Linked DNA regions of Caenorhabditis elegans. The protein of the gene in region 2 purifies or fractionates together with the protein of the main gene of each other region. This does not show direct contact. Each region holds a gene or a part of one and is shown on either strand. Other genes may lie near its edges.

Region 1 (3,512 bases), on a different chromosome or scaffold from region 2:
ACAAGCATCAATTGGTTCAACAAGTGCATGTGTTCTTGGAAGCGATTCGCTAGGTATTTTTGAAAAAATTGAATTAAAAATCCAATCTAAATATTTTTAGCAACAGAAATATTGAAATCGTTGGTTCTCGCCGGTGTTCAATCATTCTATGTCGTTGATGACGCCAAAGTTGAACAAGCTGACATCGGTCAGAATTTCTTCCTCCATGCAGATGATATTGGACGTTCTCGTGCCGAGGCAACATTGGAGAAGCTTACCGAACTGAATCCATCAGTCTCTGGTAGTGCAAGTAGTCAGCCACCAACAGCGTTAGCTATGGAAGATGTGGAAAAGCTGACAACGTTTTCTGTGGTTGTTGCTGCAAATCAAAATGAAGAAATTGATACGACGTTCGCGAAAGTTTTGTATAATATTAGAGTTCCATTCATCTGTATCAAGTACGATATTTTCAAAATTTGAAGTTCTTGCAGTTAAAATTCCAAAATTCAGAACTTTTGGACTAATTGGTACCATTCGAATCTGCATCAAAGAACACACAATTGCTAACTCACACGAAGAGAATCCGAGACCTGATTTACGGTAAAATATACATGAAAACTTCCAAAAAAGTTTTTATTTCTCAGATTGGATGCTCCATTTTCAAAGCTTATTGAAATGATCAATGAAACAAATCTAGATGAAATGACTCTAGAACAACTCCGCCATACTCCGTATATTCTTCTTCACTTCAAAGGTTTTTCTCGCAATTATGGTTGTATTCTGTTATTTACCTTCTTAATTTCAGCTCTCGAAGTATTCAGAAAGCAACGAAATGATCCTGAAGCGTTCCCATCTACAACTGCGGAACGTAAAGAACTTCAGGCGATTCTTATGAGTTTCCGACGTTCGAGTGAAGAATCCGGAACCAAGGATTCTGAGAATTTTGATGAGGCGAAAGCGGCGGTTATTCGAGCTTTTCAAAGAACTACGGTAAGTTTTTGATAAATTATCCAAATTGATTCTCATTTCTAGTAAGTTTCAGATTGGTTCTTCTGTAAAATCGATTCTCTCTTCTCCACAATGTTCAACATCGACACGCCCATTCTGGTTAATCTGTGAAGCTCTTCGTCGTTTTGTCACCGAGAATAATAATCTTCTGCCTCTTCGTGGAACTCTTCCTGATATGACTTCTGATTCTTCTCGATACACTCGCCTCGCAACTCTTTTCCACGAAAAAGCTCTTTCAGATGCTCAGGAAGTGCTTCGTTTGACACGTGAAGTAGAGAAGGAACGAGGTGTTGGTGACGTCATATCGGATGACGTTTGCTATCGTTTCTGTAAGAACGCTGATCGGATTCGAGTTCAGTATGGCGATGTGCTTGACTACAACGAAGAAACCAAAGCAATTGTTGAGAAAATTCGTGAAAGCAATATTGATGAAGAGACTAGAAATCAGAAAGTTGATGAAGCCACGTGGATGCTACTGATGAGGGCAGTTGGAAGGTTCCAAAAAGAAAAAGGACGTTACCCAGGAACTAATGGAGTTCCAGTTTCAATTGATGCTCAAGATTTGAAGAAGAGAGTTGAAGTTTTGATTCGAGAAGCTTTGAAGGTTTATTACATTCGTTAGTGAAATTAAAACTATTAACAAATTTTAGGATGAACAGGACTTCACATCAATCTCAAATAAAGTGACAGACACTGCTATCGCTGAAATTTGTCGTTTTGGTGCTGCGGAGTTACATGTCATTTCATCGTACGTCGGTGGAATAGCTGCTCAAGAGATTATCAAATTGGCTACCAATCAATATGTTCCCATTGATAACACATTCATTTTTGATGGACATACTCAGGAGTCGGCAACATTCAAATTTTAGTTTAATTTATTGGTTATTTCGCGAATTTGGTTTTGAAACTGTTCCTTGTGGCATGACATTTGTAAATGAGCCTTATTATCAGCAAAGATTTAAAATTTACAAAATAAAACTTTGATTCAAGATTGACATACTGAATATATTCATGAACATATTCATGGACATTGGAACATTGCAATTCGCTCATCTCCCATTTTTAGATATCCCCGGAAACCCCAATTTGAATGCCCGCGCAAAAAAGAGAGAATCGTTGCGAAACCCGCGCGCGTAAATGTTTGCACCTTTAAGTTTTTTGTTTCGGTTTTCCATTTCTTCGAGTTTCTTTCCTCAATTTTTTCTTGTTTACCAACTGCTTATTGCTGTTTCTTATGATAAAAACTTTCTTTATTTTAGAAAATGGCTGGAATTATTTTCGACGATATGTTCAAAGTGAAAAGCGTGGATCCAGACGGCAAAAAATTCGACAGAGTTTCTCGATACTTCTGCGATGCTGAGTCTTTCAAGTGAGATTATTTTAACATTAACTTTTTTACTGACTATGAGAATTGAAAATTTTTTAGAATGGAGCTTATCATTGATATCAACTCGCAGATCTATCCACTGAAGCAGAACGACAAAGTTCGTCTTGTTCTGGCCACTACACTCCGAGAAGACGGACTTGCCGATGAAGGAGAATATGATCCAAAAGTGAGTTTTTATCTTTTTACATTTTTTAAATATATGTTTGCACTACCTGTCTCGTTTTGACTTGGATAACTGATTAGATAACTGAAATTGAAAACTACATTTCACTTATTGTGTAACTCAATCGTTTCCCTTTCAGGCAGAATACCCAAGAATCAAACAGTATGAATATGTGATGTACGGAAAAGTTTACCGCTTGGAAGACGATGATACTGGAACTGACGGCGGAAAGCTCGCTGCTTATGCTTCGTTTGGCGGTCTACTGATGCGTTTGAAGGGCGAGGCTATCAATTTGCATGGTTTCGAGGTCGACATGAATCTGTACCTTCTCATGAAGAAGACTGACTTCTAATCCGCGACTGAAAGTTATTGATTATTTCATTTGTTGATCCGTTTTCTATTTGTTCTACTGTTTTTTATCTCTTTCCAATCTTCACTCAATTTGATCTTATTCTGATTTGTCAGACCGAATTTTCTTTTACATGAAATTTACATTGTTACAATTAAAGTAATTGACTATTTTGTAATTTTCAGTGCAGCAAGCCTGTTAAATATCTTCTTTGATATTCTCAAATTTATTTCCAGCAGTGTGCTTTTCAGGGTTTACAAAATGTCAGCCAATAAAGAGCTGCAACAAGGATACTCTGACTACTCAGCAGCGGTGAGTTTTAATTCACAAGATGTGGAAGTTTTTTTTATCATTTCAGTCCGACCAAGCTGCGCTTCTGAATCGTCTCATAACTGCCATGCAAAAGGGAGAGCTTACTGACGAACTTTTGGAACATATTCCGGAACTCGGCGATGCCAAGAAATTGAACGATAAGCTCAAATACCGGAAGTCGATTCTCGAGAAGAGCATTGCCGAACAGGCAGCCAAGAACAAGAAAAATGGTGTGAAAGCAACATCAACTAGTTCTCCATCTTCTTCTACCTCTGCTCCAGCCGAGAAGAAGGCCAAAAAAGACGGCAAAACGT
Region 2 (6,215 bases):
AAACTGATATTTAAATTTTTAAGGACTAAAATGTATTTAATCGCTGTACTTTTTCACTGTAAACTCAATCAGAACACGAGCAAAAACATCTCGATTAGAGCAGAACTTGTATTTTTTGAGAAATTCGAAAAATTGAAAAGCAGAATTTCCTGTTTTGTCTTTATTTAGAACTCGTTGGATTGCTGCACAGATTTGATCGTCACTAACATCCACGTTTCGAGCTAAAAACAATTCCCATTAGTTTTTGAAATTTGAAGCTCAAAATCACCTTGACGTCTTGCGGAACCACCGTACTCCTCCATTTGTTGTTTTAAAAAAAGTTCAGCTTGTTCTGATCTCTGATGAGACATTGCGATACTGCTCATCCTGACAACTCCCCAATCAGGTGTGTCACGAGTTTCTCTGTAATGAGCAGTAACCCGAAACGTTTCATTTAAATTTCAAACTAACCGAAAAATTCTGTAATCCTCTGCTCCTTTTTCAAATTCTGTCAAACTACATCTAATGATATTTTGAATGCTCGTAATTGTCTGTAATATAATTTTTCATGAAATTCTATGGTTTTGCAAGCTATCCAACATTTTTTCGCTCCGCAGCACTTTCAAACGATTGTTTCGCAATCCTTGCCACCATTACAGTACGAAACATTCTGAACACATGTTGTTTTCGAGTCATTTCTTTTTAAAAAGTATGTCACACCCAAGCTCAAGGATCTGAAGTCGTTCAAATTCACAGATTTCACTTTTAATTTATTGAAAATGATAATTAATTTGAAGAACAACAATTTGAAAAAAAAACAAGAATCATAAAGAAAAAAACAATTTGAATCTACCACTAATCCTACTAAAAAAATTCTAAAAAACCGAAATTTTCTTCTGAATAATTTCAAATGCTGCCCGTTTTCAAATTTTTCTAGACGACGGCGAAAGTCTTCAGTCGAACTGGTCTGATGGTGAAGATGAGTGTTTGTCTTTAATATCGTCAAAGAATGTGCGAAGTTTGTTCTGAAGAGGGAATGATGTTGTCTCGATTTCATTCGAGAGCTCTTGCAGTGATTCAATATCGTTGATGTTCCCTGAAAAATTTAGAATTGATTGAACTTTTCCGTAAGCAATCAAATGTTTGAACTTACATAATTTTCTTGTTGCCAGTTCTAATAAGTTATTGAGATCCAATGTAGATGCACGTCCGTTGAAAACAATGAACATATCTTTCAATAATCTTGGATTCTCCGAAGCAGACGCCAATGTGGTAAAGTATTGAAGAACACGGCTTTCGATGTTTAAATTCTGACGTTCAATAAGACTCCGGGCGCGTTGCATGTTGTTGGAATGAATAAGTGCGTAAGCAAGATTCACATTGGCCATATCAGAACTGTGAGCAGATCTAACCATTGTGTGCACACTTTCCAATGTTTGACGGTCGTTTCGTTTGATTGCTTCAATCATAATAGGAACTTGCCCAAAAGCACGATTACTAGCATTTGTTTCTTCGACAGCCATACGAAGAGCTCCTGGCAAGTCGTTTCTGAAAACAAGTAGAATACATATTTAAGAAAACTCAGAATTTCAATTATTTTCTGTTTCATTTTCGAGACAATTAAGAAATTATTTATAAAGGGTATACACTTATCTCACCTTTCAATCAGTTGATTTAATTGATCCGTCTTCGCCTGCAACACCACTCTACGTGCATCATTTTCGCGTAAATTGAAACTCTTCTTGAGGTATCCAGCCAATTCATTCATTTTTCCAGACTCGACTCCCTTCAACCGCCGTCCCATTTTCTCCAAAGTTTGAGGTCGGATAATTTGAGAACTGTTCCTCAATTCTTCGCATACTTCATCTGCACGTTCAACCTGTCCATTAACAAAAAGACGTGAAGCATATGAAAGTAGAACATCGGCTGTCGGATGACCTGATCTCATCTGCCAAATTCGATCAGCAAGAACCATATTGTTCTCAGAAACTGCTTTTGATAGTGTCTTCGACTCAAGATTCTTGCACAACGTTTTCAGATATCCTGGGCAATTATCCTTTTTCCATTCTATCGAATGTTCCAGCACATTCACCAAAAAGTCTAGATCATCATTTTGTTCGGTGAGAGCTTTTTGAAGAATAACTCGTTTCAATGATAATACAACTACCTCCTTGACATCGTTTGAGAAATTAGAGAGTTCTTTTAGTAACTCATTAACGTCGGTGGCTCTCCATCTTTGCATTGTTGCACTTTTACGAAGCTTTCCTAGCAGTTCCGCTTTTTCTGGTGACGATTTGAGTACATTCCTAGCATCGGTGAGTTCTTCATTATTCAATTGCACTCGTGGATCATCTTCTAATAACTGAACAATTTTCGCTGCCATATCCAGAGTGATCATTTCATTAGATAAGAATTTTGCGAGATTTCGTCCTCCGAACTTCAAAGAAGTTCTAGCGGCCTCTGGTGGGAAATCTAGCGCAAGGATTCTAGCAACCAACTTCAGACGATTTTCTTTGTCGGCCATCAGGAATCTGGTAAGAAGTCCATGAAGACGGAAAACTGTAAGTTGGCCAAGTTTGTTAGATTCGAGAAGAACACGAAGCTTTTCAATTGCTAAATGATCTTCTTTGTCAGAGTGTAGTAATTGATGAACAATTGCGGTTCCAAATTCTCGTTTCTCGTGCCAGACGGTGTTTGTCATCAGATCAAGGGCTGGTAAAACCAATTTAACGTCTAAAATAAATATTTAATTTATATATTTAAAATTGCAACTATTTTCACTCACCTTTACTAACAATTTTATACATAATCTGGAAAACCCCATGAGAATCTTCCGGCGTTTCTCTTGTTGATGGAGCAAACATAACAGATGCAACTTTTGCAATCAACGCAGCTTTTTCGGATGGTGATGCGGTTTTGATCAAATGTTGAGCTAGTTGGCGTCCAATTGATCGTTTCAGGTTAGGATTCTGTCCGAAAATGTTACGGATATCTCCTGCTTGTTGAACATGATCGAAAACGTCTACGAATAAGGGAACTTGATTCTTAGCACAAACTGTGATGAGGAATTCGTTTGCTGAAGTGATAAGCCCTTTATTTTCAGCTAGCGTTACAACTTTCAGATAATTTTGAAGATCATGGGATGTTGTTATACTTTTGAGTTCTTCCTCCAGTTGACGATTTAGTTTTTGAACAAAGAATCTGAAAATAATGAGTAAAATAAGCTCCTAACTTCTACAAAACTTACTCATTGGAATATGATGGATGAATGCATGAATAAAGAGCAATTGCTTCTTCGAGACTCCCTTCACTGAGAAGACTTTTTGCGCGAGCAACAACAGGTAAATTCAATTTATTGTCTCCAAGAGTAGATCCTGATTCGGCGACGATCAAATAAGACGAAAGAAGATTAAAAGCATCAAATTGTCCATTTTCAATTAGATCCATGAAAACATTGAGTACGTATGCATTATTTTCGAGGGAATGAAGCTTTGCAGTTGTAGGAATAGCTCTTATCATTTCGGTAACTTCAAAACCACCTCTTCCTTGCTCGTTTTTTTCGCGTTCTGCGATAGCTCTTGCTGCAGCGCATCGTAGACGGACAACATTCATTGAAGTAGAGAATGTATCAACAACTCGACCAACATGTTCATAGTTTCCTCCTCTGGCGACTGAATAGACAAGTTGGGCGACGTGATCTTCTGTCAATGGAATTCCACTGGACTTCATGTGAGAGATGATGTCTGTGATAGCTTTTGTGTTTGCTTGTTTCGCATAAACTTCGCATAAAAGAGCATAGGATTTTCCATCGAGTTCGATACCAGATTCTTCAAATTTTCCAAGCTCTTCAACTGCATCCACACGACTGCGATTATCAACTTTTGCTTCGATCAACTGATTTCGAGATAAGAGACCCAACACAACTCCTTTTTCTCGTAGAATTGATTCAACTTTCTCCAAATTTTGAGCACGAAGTGAACGGGACAATGTGTCACAAGTTGAGCCGAAGATCGATAAAAGAACTGCCAATTGACGATCAGAAAGAGTGGAGAGATCAGCGGCACGCTCGAGTAATCCGATAATTTTGGATACGGTCTGCGGGAAAACAGTGCCGCGCCATTCAATGCTGCAAAAAATGTTAGCATTTTCGAATAGAGCCTAGTTTTGAAACTAACTATTCAACTGCTTCATGAAGTGTTTCCAACTTATTGCTCTCCAAACCCTCCTGATACTTCTTCTGAAGCTTTATTTGCTCTGCAGATGTTGTGGTGATAAATGGTTTGCCAGTTTTGTTCATAAAGTTTTTACGCCCATCATTTGACTGTTCTTGTTGTTGTTTAAGTGGTGGTGGTGTCGCTGTGTTTTTTGTAGTCTGTAATTTAATATTTGGATTACAATATTAATTGAGAATAATCACTTGAGCAGCAGCAGAAGATAGTCCACGTCTCCTTGCAAGTGACCGCAGGCCGTTTCTACTTAACCCGAGCATCTGTGAAATAAGTTTTTAAAATCAATCATCAAATTAACAGACAAAATATCATATGTGAATGGATACACAAGATCAAAAACTGTTCAATTATATTTTAGAAAATCGGTTTCATTCGAATTCTCCGGGTACGGTAATTACACAAAAATCAATGAAGGCACAGAAAAAACAGGTATAACAAGAGTAGGAGTGAAACGATAACAAAAAAATGAGAAAAAAAACTAGAAATCTAATATTTATACTACCTAGACATATCTATTTTTGGAAAGAAGATAGTTTCTTTTGAGCTCTTTGATCAACTTCGACTCGATTTGTTTGGCACCACGCGAAAAGACGTTCTAACGATTCTTTCGAGTCAGAGCACTGAATCCAAGCACTTTGAATTGCCTTGCATAGTTCATGCAACTGTTCTTCATCAACTCGGTGGATCTTCTTTTTTATGTTCTTCTCCACAAACTTTTTAGTTTTCTGACCACCAATGCCGTAGAATTTGTCAAGGACACCATGGACTGCTTCATCAAGACATTTCTGAAAATAGAAAATAAAATGAATAAAATATCAGTCAAATCTTGAACAGAATGCTACACAGATAGCGGACCGCTTGACTCTGACATTTTTATCTCGCAGTCAAAGATTAGGCACAAGCGCATGGGAAAATCGCTTGCGCCACTGAACGACTGCTTTTAAACGCCACTGTGGAAGTTGAGCGTAGGTCAATAAATTGCTAGCTGAGGACACAACCACTCGGCCATCGAATCGATCGCTCACCACGCTCACAATAACGCTTTTGTTGACTGCTGACCGGCCGCCGCCGCCTCTTCGTTTTTCGGCAATCATTCCTCTTTCTACGAGCATAGCTAGTCGTTCGATGCATTCCAAATCGTTCTATAAAAATCGAGTATTATTAAAAACATTAAATTTTACTTTTACCTGTTCGACAAACGAGGCAAGTTGTTGCTTGAAATGTTTTCCTGATACGGAAACCTTTTGGAAAACTTCTAACGCTTCATCAATTCTAGCCAGTTTTAGTAAAGTACAAATCATTCGAGCCATAGTTGCAAATGGATGTTCACCTTTCCCTGAATGCAATAAAAGCGCCTCTATGCGTTTGTCTAATCCTTTTGCATCTGATTTCAGAGCTGCCATCCAGTAATCATCAATTCCTTGTTGAGTTCCGTACTTATTTGACAACAATTTCCAATCTCCGAAACTTTTGAGAAAATTGTCACTTGATGCTCGGGTCTCACCATAACATTTCATGAAAATGTCGGACGTTCGGTCGAGGTTGAGTTTAGAGCACAGAGAAAATAGAGACAACGCTTTTTCGGGGCTTTTCTGAATTGCAAACGCGTAGAGCTCGGAAAGTCGAGTTTTGACAAGCATTCGATTCGGACGAAGTTCCCGCTTATGTGCCCACTGAGACGAGGTTTCCAGATTATTCATGATTGAAGAGACTTCACATTCTGGGGTGATGCTTCGGAGAGTGAAATGAATAATTATATCTTCTGGAATCTCCGCGAGAACATGTGATCCACAGCTGAAAAATAAATTGAATGGATTACTATTTTACTTTAAAAAAAAAAGAAAGCACTTACAAGTTTCGAATAATTATTTCAGATTCTTCAGAGCAGAGGTTTTCAACAATGAATCTTAAAACATCATTGATCCTTACAATATCCTGGCGATTTCCAGTGAACATCCATTCAGGCCACGTTTGCAAAGATTTCAATAATTTATGAAGTTCATCTAC

The links.
Region 1: the proteins of mma-1 (region 2) and rpb-8 fractionate together in Caenorhabditis elegans (co-fractionation; one large-scale study listed by BioGRID). This does not show direct contact.

Annotation. Positions count from the first base shown.
Region 1 is NC_003281.10:4,916,743-4,920,254, reverse strand, and holds rpb-8 (putative DNA-directed RNA polymerases I, II, and III subunit RPABC3), read left to right. Parts: upstream 1-2,246; 5' UTR 2,247-2,249; coding exon 2,250-2,356; intron 2,357-2,413; coding exon 2,414-2,540; intron 2,541-2,676; coding exon 2,677-2,889; 3' UTR 2,890-3,012; downstream 3,013-3,512. Other genes in the region: ula-1 (NEDD8-activating enzyme E1 regulatory subunit), read left to right, coding at 1-53, 101-437, 490-579, 624-733, 785-969, 1,016-1,591, 1,638-1,856; rars-1 (putative arginine--tRNA ligase, cytoplasmic), read left to right, coding at 3,148-3,198, 3,245-3,510. UniProt on the Caenorhabditis elegans protein: DNA-dependent RNA polymerase catalyzes the transcription of DNA into RNA using the four ribonucleoside triphosphates as substrates.
Region 2 is NC_003283.11:12,591,829-12,598,043, forward strand, and holds mma-1 (Leucine-rich PPR motif-containing protein, mitochondrial), read right to left. Parts: upstream 4,469-6,215; coding exon 4,397-4,468; intron 4,352-4,396; coding exon 4,155-4,351; intron 4,106-4,154; coding exon 3,227-4,105; intron 3,181-3,226; coding exon 2,765-3,180; intron 2,713-2,764; coding exon 1,638-2,712; intron 1,528-1,637; coding exon 1,133-1,527; intron 1,076-1,132; coding exon 933-1,075; 3' UTR 740-932; downstream 1-739. Other genes in the region: C14C10.2 (ERAP1_C domain-containing protein), read right to left, coding at 50-221, 269-402, 451-530, 580-633; ril-2 (RNAi-Induced Longevity), read right to left, coding at 4,721-4,993, 5,234-5,350, 5,396-6,002, 6,061-6,215.